4 linked regions of the Cricetulus griseus genome follow. The protein of the gene in region 2 interacts with the protein of the main gene of each other region in a pairwise test. Links are inferred from orthologs where the notes say so. Each region holds a gene or a part of one and is shown on either strand. Other genes may lie near its edges.

Region 1 (4,287 bases), on a different chromosome or scaffold from region 2:
AACATAACCAGAATGAAACCACCTTCCTCAGCCCCAGCTCTGCTCTCTATCCCCCCCTCCCCAGGACCTCCCAAGCCACTTGTCTCTCAGACCAGGCTAGCCTCATGTCCCAGCCTGGATACCAGGACTCTCAACCTTGTGGCCCCATTGCCAGGTCTGACCTAAGAGGGTTTTTTTTTTTTTTTAAAGATTTATTTATTTATCATGTATACAGTGCGTGCCAGAAAAGGGCATCAGATCCCATTACAGATGGTTGTGAGCCAACATGTGGTTGCTGGGAATTGAACTCAGGACCTCTGGAAGAACAGTCAGTGCTCTTAACCCCGGAGCCATCTCTCCAGTCCATGACCTAAGGGTTTTTGTCTTCTTATTTTTAACTTATATAATTTTATTTATTACTTTGAATTACGTGTATGTACCCTGTGTGGCCATATGTGCACAAGAGTTCAGGTGCCCATGGAGGCCAGAAGCTGGAGTGACAGGTGGCCTTGTGACAGTCACCTGACATGGGGATTGGGTTCTGAGAACAAAACCTGGGTCCTTTCAAGAACAGAATTCAATTTTAACCACTGAGCCATCTCTCCAAACCATTATTTTGATTTTTTGTTTTTTAAAAACTTGAGACAGGGTTTCTCTGTATAGCACTGGCTGTTCTGGAACTCGATTTGTAGACCAGGATGACCTTGAACTCACAGAGATCCACCAGCCTCACCCCGAATGCTGGGATTAAAGGTGTGTGCCACCATGCCCAGCTCTCATTTTGATTTTTGTTTGTTTGTTTGTTTGTTTTTCGAGACAGGGTTTCTCTGTGGCTTTGGAGCCTATCCTGGCACTCGCTCTGTAGACCAGGCTGGTCTCGAACTCACAGAGATCGCCTGCCTCTGCCTCCCGAGTGCTGGGATTAAAAGAGTGCGCCACCAATGCCTGGCTCATTTTGATTTTTTAAAAGACTCTGAAGCCCAGGCTTGTTTTGAATTTACAGCAATCATCCTGTTTCAGCCTCCCAAATGCTGGGATTACAGGCATGAGCCAGAACGTCTGTCTGTCTTTGAAGTGTTTCACAAGAATCTGGTTTGTGGGGACTGGAGAGACGGCCCAGCAGTTAGGAGCACTTGCTGCTTTCCCAGAGGGCCTGCCTTCTGGGTGCTTAACAAATTTTGTAAGGCTAGGGCATGGTTGCATACTCCTTTAATCCCAGCACTCAGGAGGCAGAGGCAGGGGAAATCTGTGAGTTGGAGGCCAGTCTGGTCTACAGAGTGAGCTCCTGGCAGGCCGAGGCTACGTAAGAAGACCCTATCTCAAAACAATTTTTTTCAGGCTCTCCTATGTCTGGAAATTGTGTATGCCCTAGTGACTACTATCTGCCAAGGCCAAGTTCTCTTGTGCTTCAGGCTCTTCTCGCTCGGCCCTAGTCCATCTTCCTCTGGTAACCTGTCTGGGACCTGAAAGACTGTCACAGGTCTCCTTGGCAAACCTGGGATTTCCTCTCAGTGGGTCTTCCCTGACACTTCTCTTCCCAGTGGGCGGACAGGTCTCCGTTTCCCCTTCTGGAAATATCTAGTATCTTACCAGTTCAGCCCTGGGACAGAAGGCATGGGAAGGCAGACAGACCTAGGCCTGCACACGGTCGCCACCTGGTGTCCAGTGTGGGTACCTGCAGCGGATGCTCTCCCCGGGGAGGATTGGGAAGGACTGATTCATTTTACAGGAGACACAGGAGCCGGGGTTTTAGGGCTCTCCCTGGGTTTTGGGGAGCTGAGACTGGAGGGTATTCACCTGCGACCTTAAGGACTAAGTTTAATGACTCTAGTGCACCTCTCGGTGGGACCGACTTGATTCCCAAATATTCGGAGGTCTGCAGTTCTGTGGGACCTGGGGATCCGTTTGGGCGGGGGGTTTCTCACCAAAGAGCACAAGCTTGGACTGCAACGTGCGCAGATAGAGAATGTAACAGGCGCCAAAGAAGACAGCCAGAGCCACCAGCAGCATGGGGGATGTCACCCTGGAAGAGTGTGGGAGACAGGAGTCAGGCGTCTGAGGCTGTGTGAGCCGGCTCCCTCTAGCCTTGGGCATCACATGGGGTGGCTAGACTGCATCCCGGCTCGGGTGGATTCAGGAATACAGACCGACTCCTGGGTGCTCGGGTGACAAGGCCCTGGGCCTAGCTAACCGGCGGGGGGCGGGGCCTGGCAACAGGGGGCGGGGCCTGGCGCAGGAGGGCGGGGCTGCCGAGGCACTCACACGCAGTAAAGGATGAGGCCCAGAAACACGAACACGTAGTTGCTTTGGTAATACTCCACGTTGCGTACCAGGCGCTGGCAAAGCTCGCCCAGGTTGCGGGGTCGCGAGAAACGCTGCTGATCCACGAAAGCGCCCCAGGGCCGGATGGTCGCGCGGCGCCGCTCCAGCCACTCTCGGCCGGCGCCGGAGGGAATCAGCTTGGGCAGCAGGGTCCTGGAGGGCGGGGCGGGGCGGGGGCAGGTCAGCCGCAAGCGGTCCCAGGGCCCGGACCCCAGATCCCAGCACATCGCGGCCCCCGGGGGACATCTCCTCTGCAAAGCCCGGGGGCCGGGACGCCTGGGACCCCACGCTCGGGAGTATGGGGGGTTACACCCTGCTCGCTCACGTGGCGCTCAGCCCCTCCACCTCCGTATCCTTCTGCTGGTCCTTCTGGGCCGCCATGTCTACGCTGCGGTGTGTGGGATCGCCGCGGACAGCCTCGAGCCCCGCCGCACCCAGCCGGCCCCCGCCCGAGCCCGGACGCTCAGGACATGGCGCCGCTTGGCACTCTAGGGGGCGGTAGTTGCGTCTCCGAGCATTCTGGGAGTTGTAGTCATTGCGGCGTCAGGAGGTCGGTCGGGCTCGCAAGACACCTCGGGAGAAGTATGCCAAGAGCGCCGCGTGGGCCTCTAGGCATTGTGGGAACTGTAGTTTCAGAGCGTGCAGCGTGGGCTCTTAGGATGGGGCGTTTTTACCGGGAGTTGGCATGGCAGCTGCGGGATTCCGTGGAGGGTGCGGAGCTATCATCCTGACTCCAGACGGCATAATAATAATAATAATAATAATAATAATAATAATAATAATAATAATAATAATAATAATAATAATAAATAATTAATAATAATAATAAAAACATTGGCCGCAGCCTCAGATATTCTGATTCTGATTGGGCTGGTCTGGGGTGGAGTTCATTAACTTTCTCTTTCCTTAGAAAACAAAACAAAACAAAAATTATAGGGGCTGGAGAGATGGCTCAGATGTGTGAGAACCGGCTGCTCTTCCACTTCCAGGTGTCCTGAGTTCAATTCCCAGCAACCCACATGGTGGCTCACAACCATCTACAAATGTGATTTGGTGCCCTCTTTTGGCATATAGCATACATGAAGGCAGAACACTGTATAATAAATAAATTTTTAAAAATATTATATATGTATATATCCAGCTCTAGTCAATCAAACATACTCACGTGTACTTACACAGATACACATAACTTTTAAAATATCTTTTCTAAAAAATGGCTTCTGCCGGGCATTGGTGACTCAAGCCTTTAATCCCAGCACTCGGGAGGCAGAGGCAGGAGGATCTCTGTGAGTTCGAGGCCAGCCTGGTCTACAGAGCAAGTGCCAGGACAGCCTCCAAAAGCTACACAGAAACCTTGTCTCCAAAAACCAAAAAGAATTAAAAATAAATGGTTTATGTGTGTGTGCCACATGGGTGACGGTGCCTGAGGAGGCCCAGAAGAGGGTATTACATCCCCCCCCTGGAACTGAAGTTACCACCAATTGTGAGCTGTTCAAAATACATGGGCTGGGAACTGAACTCTAGTCCTCTGGAAAAGCAGCACGCACACTCTTAACTACTGAGTCATCTCTCCAAACCCTCTTTTTTATTTTCATTTAAAACATCTGTTTTATTTATTTACTTTTTCCAGACAGGGTCTTTCTACATAGCCCTTGGTACTCGCTCTGTAGACCAGGCTGGTCTCAAACTCTCAGCGATTCACCTGTCTCTAGTGCTTGGGTTAAAGGTGTGTGACACTACCACCTGGTTTTTAAAAATGATTTGTTTTTATTTTATGTACATTGGTCTTCTGCCTGCATACACGTCCGTGTGAGAGTGTTGGGTCTCCTGGAACTGGAGTTGCTGACAGTTGTGAGCTGCCATATGGGTGCTGGAAGAGCAGTCAGGGTGCTTAACTATTTTTTTAATTATTTAACTTTATTTTAAATGCATTGGTGTGAAGGTTCAGATCCCCTGGAATTGGAGTTATAGACAGTTGTGAGCTGC
Region 2 (3,500 bases):
GCCACAATGTGCACAGAGGCCTGTCCCAAGCCAAGACGCTGGCGCTGGCTCCATCAGGCCGAGGCATGCAGGGCCAGCAACAGTGAGCACGCCAAATGGGCTGTAGCCAGCAGGGTCCTAGGTCCCCAATAGCTACTCAGAGCTATGGCCAGGGAGGGTACATGTTGACTAGGCACTCTTAGCTGGGATAGGAAGACACTGTGTGTCCAACTAGACCTTCATCCAGAAAGTGACAGGGTAGGAGGCAGGGTTGCTTCTGAGAAGGACACAGACAGTCACAAACTACCCTGAATCTTGCTTCTACTATTATAGGTGAGGCCAATCCACCTAGAGGCTGGGCCAGGGACAGACATGACACCTGCACAGGCCAACCTAGCGCTGTGTCTGAGGTTCTGCTTCTAACTCCCAAAGCTTTGGAAGTCTCATAGCTCACAGCAGCCTAGACACAAGACAACTGCTCTGAGACTAGCCAGCATCAGGTTCCAACATGGAACAGAGCCCTCAGCAGACCAGGGTCTGCAGTAGAGCAGGGGATCCACTGAGGCTTCTTGCTGAGCAGGACACAAGAGGATCCCAAACCACGGCAAGACACAGTGTGGCCGCAGCACTGCAGGGGAGCGGGGGGTGGGGAGGGGGGAGAGGACAGACTAGGCAGGGTATCCATGCATCAGGAGAGGGGCCATGGGGCTACCTGCTCCTCCACTCAGCCTTCGGTCCTTCAAGTGTGCAACTAAGAGAGAAGACAGCCAGAGAGGGCAAGGGTAGGGGAGACACAGAACATGGTGAAGATTGAGCCAGGCCAAGGGCATCGAGATGGGCCAAGATGAGACAGACAAACGAGTGAGGGCCAGGGCTGAGCCTCAGAAAGCCCACTTTTGCAACCTATCCAAACAGCAGTTCATGGAAGCCACGCACCAGTCTCACCTCTCCCTCTCCTATAACCCAGGCTGTGGTGTACACATCCTAGACCCAGAGCCCTCACTGCTCTACCAGATCTCAATCTTGCACATGAAGGGAAGGAAGCCTGAACCATCTTCCAAAGCCCCTCCCCGACTCCTGGGATGCCTGGTAGATCCCTCATGAAGCCCAAGGACACACACTAGTGCTTACAACTGTTGTTCTTTCTTGTCCTCATAGCTGTCTGCCAAGCTCCAAGAGTGCATGGGGCCCAGCTTAGGGTTCTGGCTAGTCCTGTCTGCCTTTGCAGTTCTTTGCCATTTTCCCATGAGGTTGGCAGGGTGGAGGGTTATCCTATTTCTGTCCCAAGGAGGTCAAGCTCCAGAGGCTGAAGTCTTTGGTGGAGGGCACCAAATTGAGGGAGAGCAGTTCACCTCCCAGCAGGTGTATGCTGTTAAGAGGGGACCAGAGGTCCAGGAGGTATACAGGAGCCACCTGAATCATAAAGCTGTGTGTATGTATGTTTGTGTGTGTATGTATGTGTGTATGTTTGTGTGTATATGTTTATATGCATGTGTGTGCATGTGTGTGATGTATGTATGCTTGTGTGTATGTATGTGTATAATTGTATGTGTGCATGTGTGTGATTATATTGTGCATATGTGTATGTATGTGTGTGAATCATGTGTATGTGTGTATGTTTGTGGTTGTATGTATATGTGTAATTGTGTATGTATGTTTGTGTATGTATTATATGTATGTGTATGTGCATGTATCTGTGTATGTATGTTTGTGTATGTATCTGTGTATGCATGTTTGTGTGTGTGTGTATCTGTGTATGTGTGTGTGTGATTGCATAGTGTGTGTGTGATTGCATAGTGTGTGTGTGTGGTGTGTGTGTGTGCTCTGTATGCTGAGTCTCATCACTGTTACATGAGGAGATGTTTCAGGAAGGATGGGAACCAGAAAGCTGCTTTAGAGCCCTTGTTCCCAGCAGATTCTCAGGCTTACTTTCCACAGGTTTGGACAGGCTAACACCAAGATGGTCCCAATTCCCTTCTCTGGTCCCAGACTCCATGAGTCTAGGCACTAAGCCTCTACGATGACAAAGAGCCTTTTGAGGTACCCTAATCCCAATAGGGTGTGGGTGACTCATCTGAAACAGGCTTCCCTAATAGCACCAGGCCATGCTCCTGGTCTCTCAAGGCTGGAAGACGAGTCTTCTCCCAAAGTAGAGGCTGGCTGCGCCCAGGACTTACACCCTAAAATGTATGCAGAGTCTAGGGAGAGTAGGCCAGCTGTCAGGGGTCCAGGTGACAGAGTACACTCACCCACAGACTCCCCAACACACGGGCAATGTGCCCCGTTCCCTTGCCCAGGGTGGGTGGAGGTGTACTTACTGTAGCCCATGCCTTGCAGGAAGTATTTGAAGGCCTCAGTCAGTTTTCCTGGCTGCAAGAAGATGGACAGGAATGTGCTCTGATTGGCTGCCTAGGTCTAGTGGGGAGGATGCCATCCCCCCATCCCCAACAGGCTGGGTGATACAAAGGCAGAAGGTCCAGGGGTCTTACCTGTGTCACCTGAGGAAGGCCACCAGAATCTGCCATCTGAAAGGAAAAGGGCAGGGAGAACTGAGTCCCTCTCAACACCTGGACAGACCGTGCTGTTCAAACACCACCCTGTTCCCATGCTGTCCACCAGACCCCTTCCTGCAGCTGAGCCACCGGGCTGATGGGGTGGGGTGGGGCATCTCACCTTCAGGAAGGTTGTGGTGGTTGGGTCCAGTTTGGAGTTACACTCAACCTGGGGACAAGGAGACAGCTGCAGCAAGACCCCTGCTCCACTGCTTAGGCAGGTTCTGTGCCCAAAGCAGGAAGAGGGAGGGAGGGAGGGAGGGAGGGAGGAGGAGGAGGGAGGGAGGAGGGAGGGAGAGGGAGGGAGGGAGGGAGGGAGGGAGGGAGGGAGGGGAGGAAGGGAAAAGAGGACTATACAGGGGCCTGGGCTTCCATTCCCAGGCTTTCTCATGCTAGGACTTCCTAAGTCCCTGGAGGCCTGCTGGTCTAAGGGGCGTGAAATTCCACTCATAACCGCAGGTGGAGCAGCAATGGGGCAAGGCTTTGACCCAGAAGGCCAGGGTGACATTAGCAGGATGTACCAGAGATCTGGGCATTGTTAGGGTCAAGATGACACTGGGGCCCTGCCTGGGTCACGATAGCTAGTGCAGCCTACACCCTGCCCTTGCAGTCTTCCTCGTGAGCCCTTGAAAGTCTGATATCTTCTGAACACCCCTGGGCTGGCAACTGAGACTGCTTTACTGCTAGAGTGCCAACGGGAGCAGTTTCAAGCACTGCCCCACCCTGGGGGCCTGGGGGGCTCCAGGGTGAGTATTGATGTCTATGAGCCACTTATGGCTTAGATTTTGGAAGAAGTAGGCCTTGGGCTCTAAACTGAAAGTGTATGGAGACTGGGATAGGCTACACTGTGAGAGCGAGGAGGGAATGCCAGGCCACATGGCCCTAGTCTTAGCTCCATCCACTCACCAGGCCTCTTCCCCTGCACAATGAGGGGGTGGTGGTCAGACCCTGATGTGTGACCAGGTGGCA
Region 3 (3,937 bases), on a different chromosome or scaffold from region 2:
GGCAAGTTACAGGCCAGTAAGAGATCTTGCTCATCCTGATCCCTATGCCCAAAAGAGTCCAAAGGATAGTGAGATGACTCAGTGGGAACAGTGCCTAATGTCAAGTCTGAGAATCTGAATCTGACCCCTGGAACCCGCATGGTGGAAGTAGAGAACTGATTCCTGCAAGTTCTCCCCTGACCTCCGCACAAGCGTTGTGGAATGGGTGTGCCCTCTGTTCCCTCAATAAATAAGCAAAATATTAAAAAAGAAAAGGTGGACAGTTCCTGAGGAATGACACTCAATGTTGTTCTCTGGCCTCCATATACACTTAAACACACAGGCACGAGGATACACACACACACACACACACACACACACACACACACACACACACACACACACGTGCAAGTCCAAATGGCTTTGGGAAGAGACTCCTCTACTTTGATAAGAGTCTAACCCGTGTCAGGGTTAGGTAAGTTGCCAGAGGAGCGGCTAAGAAGACTAAGAAAGCAGGAAGTATGTGGGATACTTCCCCACACTTCCAGAATCTAATCCTCCTATCCATCCTAATGAACAAAAAAACGTTCTCCTTTCTGCAGATCCTGGTCCAAAGGCACTATCAGTCAGTTGCAGTTATTCTGTGTATTGGGATCTCCAGGGAACTTTAAAAAAAATTAGCTGACTCTGGGTGCTCCCTTAGAGACACTGGTTTAATTAGTCCAGGCTGGCAACAGTACTTTTCAAAGCTGCCAAGTTATTAAATACAGCCAGAGTTAAGAACTAACTACTGTGGTAGATAGGAAAAGGAGATATGGAGCTAGAAGGAGTTCAATAAGTCACCTTCAGAACTAGTGTTCCATAAATGTGCCACACCGTCAGGTGGGTCCTGAGTAGCATTTGTTTTGATAACATGTGGGCAACACTTCTATGCATATGTTTCCATATACACATGTGTGTATACATATATATATGTATATATATACATATATGCCATGTATATGTATACATACAAGTTAATTGTATAAATATATTTGAATAACTATTAGAAATGTATAACCAACATATCAAATTTGAGATGCAATGTATATTACTGCTGAGGATGAAGCTAAGTTCTAGCCAAAGGTTAGGCAGCAACTCTACCACGGAGGGCAGCTTTTCAAGCGTTCTTGGGATTTGAACACAGGTCCTCACAATTTTGCAACAAGTCCTTTACTCATTGATCCTTTGTCCTGGCCCCTGAAAATGATAAATTTTGGTGTTAATGTTTTCAGCCTGAGCTAAAAGGCTTGGTTTTGCAAGATCAACTTTGTATTAAACTTAGGCAAATATATGGTAAATATGTAACAGGGAAGGATAGCTTGGGCCAACACCGAGGGGCTGGCAAGTTAGGAGCTCAGTGGTAGACCACACCTATCTCAAGACTAATATATATAGCATCACTGTCTCATTCCTATGCCGCTGTACTGGGCTTAAACCCGAACCCACACCAGGGTCTTCTAGACTCACAGTCAGTCTGATCCCAGCTGCCACCGCCTCTGCTTTCCGATTCAAATCGGAGCTAAACCTAAGGTGGCTTGGCTACCAAAGCATAGTGGGGCAGAAAACCAAGGCTCCCACGGTTTTCAGCTCCACAGCACAAAAGGGAAGCCAGAGTGACCCAGATCCAGGTTATGCAAACTCACAGGAGGATGAGTGACATGAAAACCCTAAAGGGAGCAAACAAAACCCGCCTGCAGGAAAGGCCCTGCCTTGCTAACATTTCTTTCTATTTGACATTCTCCGGGCATGATGCAACCCCAGTTGCCCAATTTATATTTACACATCCCCCTTGTCCACAAGGAGCTTCGAAAGCTCCCAACTGTACAGCATTCCTTGCCCAAGTTCAAGTGTCTAGTTCCACAAGGTTGCAGGGCGGGCCTGTGACTTCAACTTTCCTAGGTACAAGCGAGGTGCTCCGAGGAGGTTTGGAATTCTCAGGTAAACTGAAAATGGACAAGGGGCAAAGGCGAGAGTTGGAGCTGACAGCCCCACGTCTGTCTTCCACTTTTCCCCACGGTTGGTTCTCACGGCCTCTTGATTACACACTGCCAACGGCACCTACAATCTCACCGTCCTCCCTGCCCCGTTCTTCCCCAATCCAAAGGGCACTGACGATGGCAAGGGTGAGTGGGGTGAAAACCATACCCAGGCTTCAGCCTCCTCCTGCTCCTCCTTTTCCCTGGCGCCTTCCGCCCCGGCTTTCCACATCCTACCAGCTTCCTGGCCACCCAGTCATCGGTACACCTTTGCACCACCCAACAAAATGGCAGGTTAGCGACAGGAGGGGCCGAGGGCGCCAGTTCCTCCACCAGGCAAGCGTAGACCCTGTCCAAAGCCCAGTCCCCGCGACTCCTCCAAGCGCTAACACCCCTCTCCTGCCCAAGTCCCTAATCTTGGGCCCTTTGCCTGCTCGCACTCTAGGGGACATTTCCATTCCAGGCCGGCGAGCAGGTGGCCGCGTAACAGGTGCCAAGCAAAAAGGCCCGGACACAGAGTGGAGGGGACCCCGAGACCGTGGGCAGGAAAAGGCCACTTCCAGGAGAAGGTGATCGCCGGGGGGACCAGACCGGGCTGGGGGCAAGGATGCTGCCTTGCCTGTCCCTGCTCCCCGGGGCTCGATCGTCGCCTACGCTGCTACCCTACTCACAATCTCCAGGCAGACGAAAGCTCCCGAGTAGGTCCGCAGGATGTCGGGGCCCACGGGCAGGGTGACCCGGGGCGCCGGGAAGGACACAGCGGGGTTCGGGGGCGGCGGGACTGCCGCTCCGCCGGCCGACATGCTGCCGCTGCTACGTCTCCGCGCACAGCCGCCACCGCCTCCCGCGTCCGCCTCCGCCTCCCTCCCGGGCTTGCCGCCGCCGCCGCGCCGCCGCGCGCCGCCGCCGCCGATCCGGTCCGCGGGGTCCGGGCGTGCCGCTCGCCGAGAGGGCGTGGCCAAGGGCCCTCTACACAGAGCCCCGCCCCGTCACGTGGGCGCAGGTGAGCACGTCCCCGCCCCGGCGCCCGCAGGGGTCACCCGTACAGGTGCGCGGTGCGCTCCGGCTACAGGGCCACCAGCTCGCCCAGGCTCTCGCGATCACCTGCTGCCCCTGCGCTAAATGTCCCGCGGGTCCCACCTCTCCATCCCACCCCACTCTCACCCGGGCCTCACCCTCTGTCCCCAGTTGGGCAGGAAGACAGAGACTGTGACTCAGAAAGCAAACGCCAGTCGCCAGGCACACCTGGAAAGCGGGATGCCTGTTTTAAAGGGGACTGTAATGGAATTTTCAAAGATGTCACCAGGGTCGTGTGGCACTTGGGAGTCGATGGCTGGCCGTAGGTCCCCGGAGGGCTGCTTTGAGGTTTCCTACTCTGTTCCGGGAAATCCCTATGAGGATATCCGCCAGTGAGGGACAGAAAAGTTCAGTGCCCAGGAAGCGCTCTGTAAACTGTAGCTTTTAGGACGGCAGCTACTTTTCCAATCCCGAGATCTGTATCATTGCTCTGTCTACAAACGATGTCAGCCGCATCACGTTTCCACACAGACCCTTTTCATTTAGCCCTCACACATGTACTCTTTGACACTGTCTTTTAACACTCAGCAGACCAAAAAAAAAAAAAAAAAAAAAAAAAAAAGGATGCTATGTATGAGTCCCTTGCCTCAGTTTACCTCGTGCGTTCCCATTGTAGTCTTGGTTTCAGTGTTAATGTCTGTAAGTGGGACAAAGGAAGGGGCATTTCTCAAAGGTCATCTGAAGATAAGTTAAATGACTCACATCAGCACACAAGTAGATCCAGTGGAAAAAACAATAGCTAACCCTGGCATGGCAGCACAAGCCTGGAATAGCAGCGTTTCATAGGATGAGGCCAGAGGATTGCCCTGAATTTGAAACCAGAAGGCTGCAAAACCGGTAATAGGACATCTAGGGATACCTAG
Region 4 (4,188 bases), on a different chromosome or scaffold from region 2:
TACCGCTTCTCTACACCGGTCCTGGCTTCGAGAGCCCCGAGCGCTTCGGTGGCTACGTTCTTCTGCTCTAGGAAACGCTCGAAGCGCTGGCGTAGACCGTCCATGGCGGTGGGCCCGCGGCAGGCCACTCAAGCACACCCGCAGCCTCGCGCACCGGCCCAGCCTACGGCGCACAGACTTCGCCTCCCGCGCGCGGCCAGGCCCCGCCCCCGACACGCTGCTTTCGGCCCCCGGCCCTGGCTCCGCCCCCGACCCCTGGCTCTGGCCAATGGGAGGGCAAGGCGGACAAAGGAGGTGGGGCCTGCCCCGTCTCCCCCGCCGCATCGCCCTCTGGCCAGGGCTAAGGCCCGCCGGGCCACAGGGAGGCTGGAGGGGGCGGGGCGCCAGGCTGCCGGTGCGTTGATTGGTCACGAGGAAGTGACTCGGTACTGATTGGACAAGCCGTAGATTATTGACGGAGAGCGATGAGGGTGGGTGGGACTAGCTGAGAAACAGGTGGGTGGGGCCAGGTTAAGACCAGCGCTGATTGGACAGACTAGAGAAGGCGGAGTTGATCATAAAGGAGGCGGGACTACACTGGAAGCAAACGATGCTGGTTGGAAGATGTGGAGAGGCAGGGCTGATTCTCTAAGGAGGGGCGTGGAAGAAAGTGGGCGGGACCAAATAAATGGTTGGGGGTATCCCTGTGATCCTGAACCTGCTCCTAAGGACCAGAAGGTGTTGCACTTGTACAAGTGGAGAAACTGAGGCTCCCGAAGGCTTAGGTCCGTGTGGATGTCTCTTCATGTGGGATAGTCCCACCCCTCATGGATGGGGGACGAGGGAACCGCAAGGCCCCTTGGGAGTTGAAAGCTTCGGGGTTGCTATGGTGTCCGGGATGGGGTGGCTTCCTGAGGCCCCGCCCCCCGCCCCGCCCCCCGCTATGCGGCCCTCCCCGACTGCGCTGTGGCTGGGTCTGGCTTTGGCTTTGGCCCTCCTGGCTGTGGGGTGGGCCTCACCCCGGGCCCCCATCTATGTCAGCAGCTGGGCCGTGCGGGTGACCAAAGGTTACCAGGAGGCTGAGCGCCTGGCACGTAAATTTGGCTTCATCAACCTGGGACAGGTGGGTGGGTGGGACCTGGATGGATGGGCCATGGGTGGGGACCTGGACGACCTCAGACCCGGACAGATGGGAGGGGGTCCCCAAGACCTCCCCGGATATGAAGAACGAACGTGTCTACGTGCCCCCTCCATATTCAATTTGGGATTCTGCGACCCTCAACTGGGCACCTGGTTGAGGTATATAATGCCGCAGAAACTGGACTCCATCCTTGGGACTGTATCAAAGGAGCCAGGTCCCAGCGATGCCCCTGTCCATCACATTCCCAGATCTTTCCCGACGACCACTATTTCCATCTACGGCACCGGGGTGTGGCTCAGCAGTCCCTGACCCCCCACTGGGGCCACCGTCTGCGCCTGAAGAAAGAGCCCAAGGTGAGTGAGCCCATGGCTGCCATCTCCTAAGGCCAACCAGCCACCTTCAGTCATTCTTATTGTGTCAAGTGGGGCCTGCTTGGGGACGTCATGTATGAGCATGACACCTACCACAACATGGCACTTGGGGGGCCACATACTGACGGCCCCTGCCCTGCTTCTCAAGGAAAGAGGTTCTCACACACTGGTCCTTCCCTGCTCCAAGCCATACGACGTAGGGAAGAGAATCGGTCCATTTTATCAGACTAGAAAACAATGCCCAAGGTGAGAACCTGAATCAGTGACTGTGCAGCCGAATCAGGAGTGGAGCCCATGGTGCTTTGTGTTATTTGGAAACATCCACATTAGATCAGTCCTCACAGGGAACAGCCCCTAAACAGTAGTCAAAGAATGGTATGGATTTGTGAGTGTGCAAGCCATAGAGGCTTACAAGATACACTGAAGAGGTGCTCACTTTGTGTGTCAGGAACTGTCTTAGTAACTGTCCTATTGCTGACACAAAAACGCCATGACCAAGGCAACCTACAGAAAGAAGAGTTTATTGGAGCTTACAGCGTCAGAGGGTGATTCCATGACCACCAACCATGTCGAGGAGTATGGCAGCAGACAGGCAGACTGGCACACTGGGGCAGTGGCTGAGAACTTTCACCCTCACCCACAAGGACGAGGCAGAGAGAACCTCTCAGTGACACACCTTCTCCAACAAGGCCACACTTCCCCAAACCAACTGGGGACTGAGCATTCAAATATAAGAGCCTGTGGGACCAGTCTCATTCAAACCACCACAGGGACCAAGTGCCTTTCAGAGGCCAAATCTTGACAAGAAGGAAGTCAAATAGATGGGGTAAAGAGAAGGAACAAGAGATGAGAGGCTATGGATGGGGTAGATGGACAGAGAGGTCAAGCCAGGTTAGCCAGGAGTGTGGCTCATCAGACCAAGCTGGAGGTGTAAGGAGAGGGGACTTGAGCTGGTTTGGGCTGGCAGAACAGCACTTGCAAAGGCCCTGGGGTGGAAGAGAACACATGAGCTCTTTCTTGGTTGTTAGTTGTAGCTAAGTGAGGAGCAGGTTGACTGCTGGAGGCCAGCAGGGCAATAGATTTGGTGATGTTGGACCAAGAGGGAGGTGGACAGGGGCTCAGGCTCAGTGGGTGGAGCACTTGTTCAGCAAGCAGGCAGTCCTGGGTTCCATCCCAGTGCTCTTAAAGCGATAGTGAAAACGCACACCTGTCATTGGTGGCAGGAGGATCAGGATTTCAAGGTCATTTTTGGCTGTGTGAGACCCTATCTCAGAAGACAGTGAGATGGCTCAGAGGGTAAAGATGGTTGCTCAGGGGCTGGAGAGATGGCTCAGAGGTTAAGAGCACTGACTGTTCTTCCAGAGGTCCTGAGTTCAATTCCCAGCAACCACATGGTGGTTCACAACTATCCCTTATGAGATCTGGTGCCCTCTTCTGGTGTGCAGATACATATGGAAGCAGAATGTTGTATACATAATAAATAAGATCTTTAAAAAAAAAAAAAAGATGGTTGCTCAGTCTGGCTGAGCTCTCGCCACCATCCACATAGTGGAAGGAGAAAACTGACTCCATGGTTTCTTTTTAAAAGACTTACTTGTTACTTCTGACTAACGTGTGTCATTAGTGTCTCTCCTGCTTGCTTACCCATGATGCACCACAGGCACGCAGGAGCCCTCGGGGGTCCGAAGAGGGCACAGGATTTACTTGGAATTTGTCTTAGGTAGTTGTGAGCTGCCATGTAGATGCTGGGAATTGAACCCTGATCCTCTGCAAGAGCGGCCTTTGCTCTTAACCACTGAGCCATCTCTCCAGCCCCAGTAGCTGTCCTTTGACCTCCATATATGCCGTGGTGCGCATACATACAGACACACAGAGAGAAAGGAAAGACAGAGGAGAGACACAGAAGGGAGAGAGAATATACAAATGTAAAACGAGGAGACAGACACTAGGAGGTAGTGGAAGTTGTGGACATGGGGATGGGGCCAGGGCTGTCCTGACCCAGGAAGAGTGTCAGAAGTTATAAGGTCTAGGAGATCTGCTCCAGCCCCTACCCAAGGTTCCAAAGGTGAAATGCTTCTCAGGAACGAAGGAGGGGTAAAAGATGTTACACACCACCTGACACACATGTTCTTCATGTGTTCTTTATTGTTCTGCTATCCTGTCCTGCCACCCTCCCGTTTCTACACACACACAATCAGCAATTCTCTGGCTCTAGCCAGGTGCAAGGCTACAGATTTTCAGGGTCCTAGAAACGGATACAAGTTTTACATGGAGCTGGGTGGTGGTGGCTCACGCCTTTAAACTCCAGAGGCAAAGGCAGGCAGATCTCTGTGAGTTCGAGGCCAGCCTGGTCTACAGAGCGAGTTCCAGGACAGCCTCCAAAACAATACAGAGAAACCCTGCCTCGAAAAACCAAATCTGTCAGCCCTTCTTTATGGCTCAAAGTGGAAGTGGTTAAGCTTCCAAAATAAACTTAAAGGAAAAGGGGGGTAAATTGTCGGGCGTTGGTGGCACATGCCTTTAATCTCAGCACTCCGGAGGCAGAGGCAGGCGGATCTCTGTGAGTTCAAGGCCAGCCTGGTCTCCAGAGCTAGTTCCAGGATAGGCTCCAAAGCTACACAGAGAAACCCTGTCTTGAAAAACCAAAAAAACAAGGGGGGGCCATAAATTAATAGAGAGGGAGAGACTAAGTCATTT

What was found.
Region 1: the proteins of Ndrg4 (region 2) and Rabac1 interact in binary tests that used the Homo sapiens proteins (3 or more experiments, as listed by UniProt). The two-hybrid records come from large-scale screens. The link is inferred for Cricetulus griseus from reciprocal best matches to the Homo sapiens genes NDRG4 and RABAC1.
Region 3: the proteins of Ndrg4 (region 2) and Mal2 interact in binary tests that used the Homo sapiens proteins (3 or more experiments, as listed by UniProt). The two-hybrid records come from large-scale screens. The link is inferred for Cricetulus griseus from reciprocal best matches to the Homo sapiens genes NDRG4 and MAL2.
Region 4: the proteins of Ndrg4 (region 2) and Reep6 interact in binary tests that used the Homo sapiens proteins (3 or more experiments, as listed by UniProt). The two-hybrid records come from large-scale screens. The link is inferred for Cricetulus griseus from reciprocal best matches to the Homo sapiens genes NDRG4 and REEP6.

What each region holds. Positions count from the first base shown.
Region 1 is NC_048602.1:9,714,295-9,718,581, forward strand, and holds the start of Rabac1 (prenylated Rab acceptor protein 1), read right to left. Parts: upstream 2,801-4,287; 5' UTR 2,683-2,800; coding exon 2,627-2,682; intron 2,455-2,626; coding exon 2,242-2,454; intron 2,003-2,241; coding exon 1,905-2,002; intron 1-1,904. UniProt on the Homo sapiens protein: General Rab protein regulator required for vesicle formation from the Golgi complex. May control vesicle docking and fusion by mediating the action of Rab GTPases to the SNARE complexes.
Region 2 is NC_048596.1:171,897,208-171,900,707, reverse strand, and holds part of Ndrg4 (protein NDRG4), read right to left. Parts: intron 2,701-3,500; coding exon 2,653-2,700; intron 2,505-2,652; coding exon 2,469-2,504; intron 2,350-2,468; coding exon 2,298-2,349; intron 1-2,297. UniProt on the Homo sapiens protein: Contributes to the maintenance of intracerebral BDNF levels within the normal range, which is necessary for the preservation of spatial learning and the resistance to neuronal cell death caused by ischemic stress.
Region 3 is NC_048603.1:797,779-801,715, forward strand, and holds the start of Mal2 (protein MAL2), read right to left. Parts: upstream 2,801-3,937; coding exon 2,669-2,800; intron 1-2,668. UniProt on the Homo sapiens protein: Member of the machinery of polarized transport. Required for the indirect transcytotic route at the step of the egress of the transcytosing cargo from perinuclear endosomes in order for it to travel to the apical surface via a raft-dependent pathway.
Region 4 is NC_048598.1:101,122,398-101,126,585, reverse strand, and holds the start of Reep6 (receptor expression-enhancing protein 6), read right to left. Parts: upstream 2,801-4,188; 5' UTR 1,474-2,800; coding exon of another isoform or gene 1,369-1,473; 5' UTR 1,103-1,368; coding exon of another isoform or gene 923-1,102; 5' UTR 105-922; coding exon 1-104. Other genes in the region: Pcsk4 (proprotein convertase subtilisin/kexin type 4), read left to right, coding at 923-1,102, 1,369-1,473. UniProt on the Homo sapiens protein: Required for correct function and survival of retinal photoreceptors. Required for retinal development.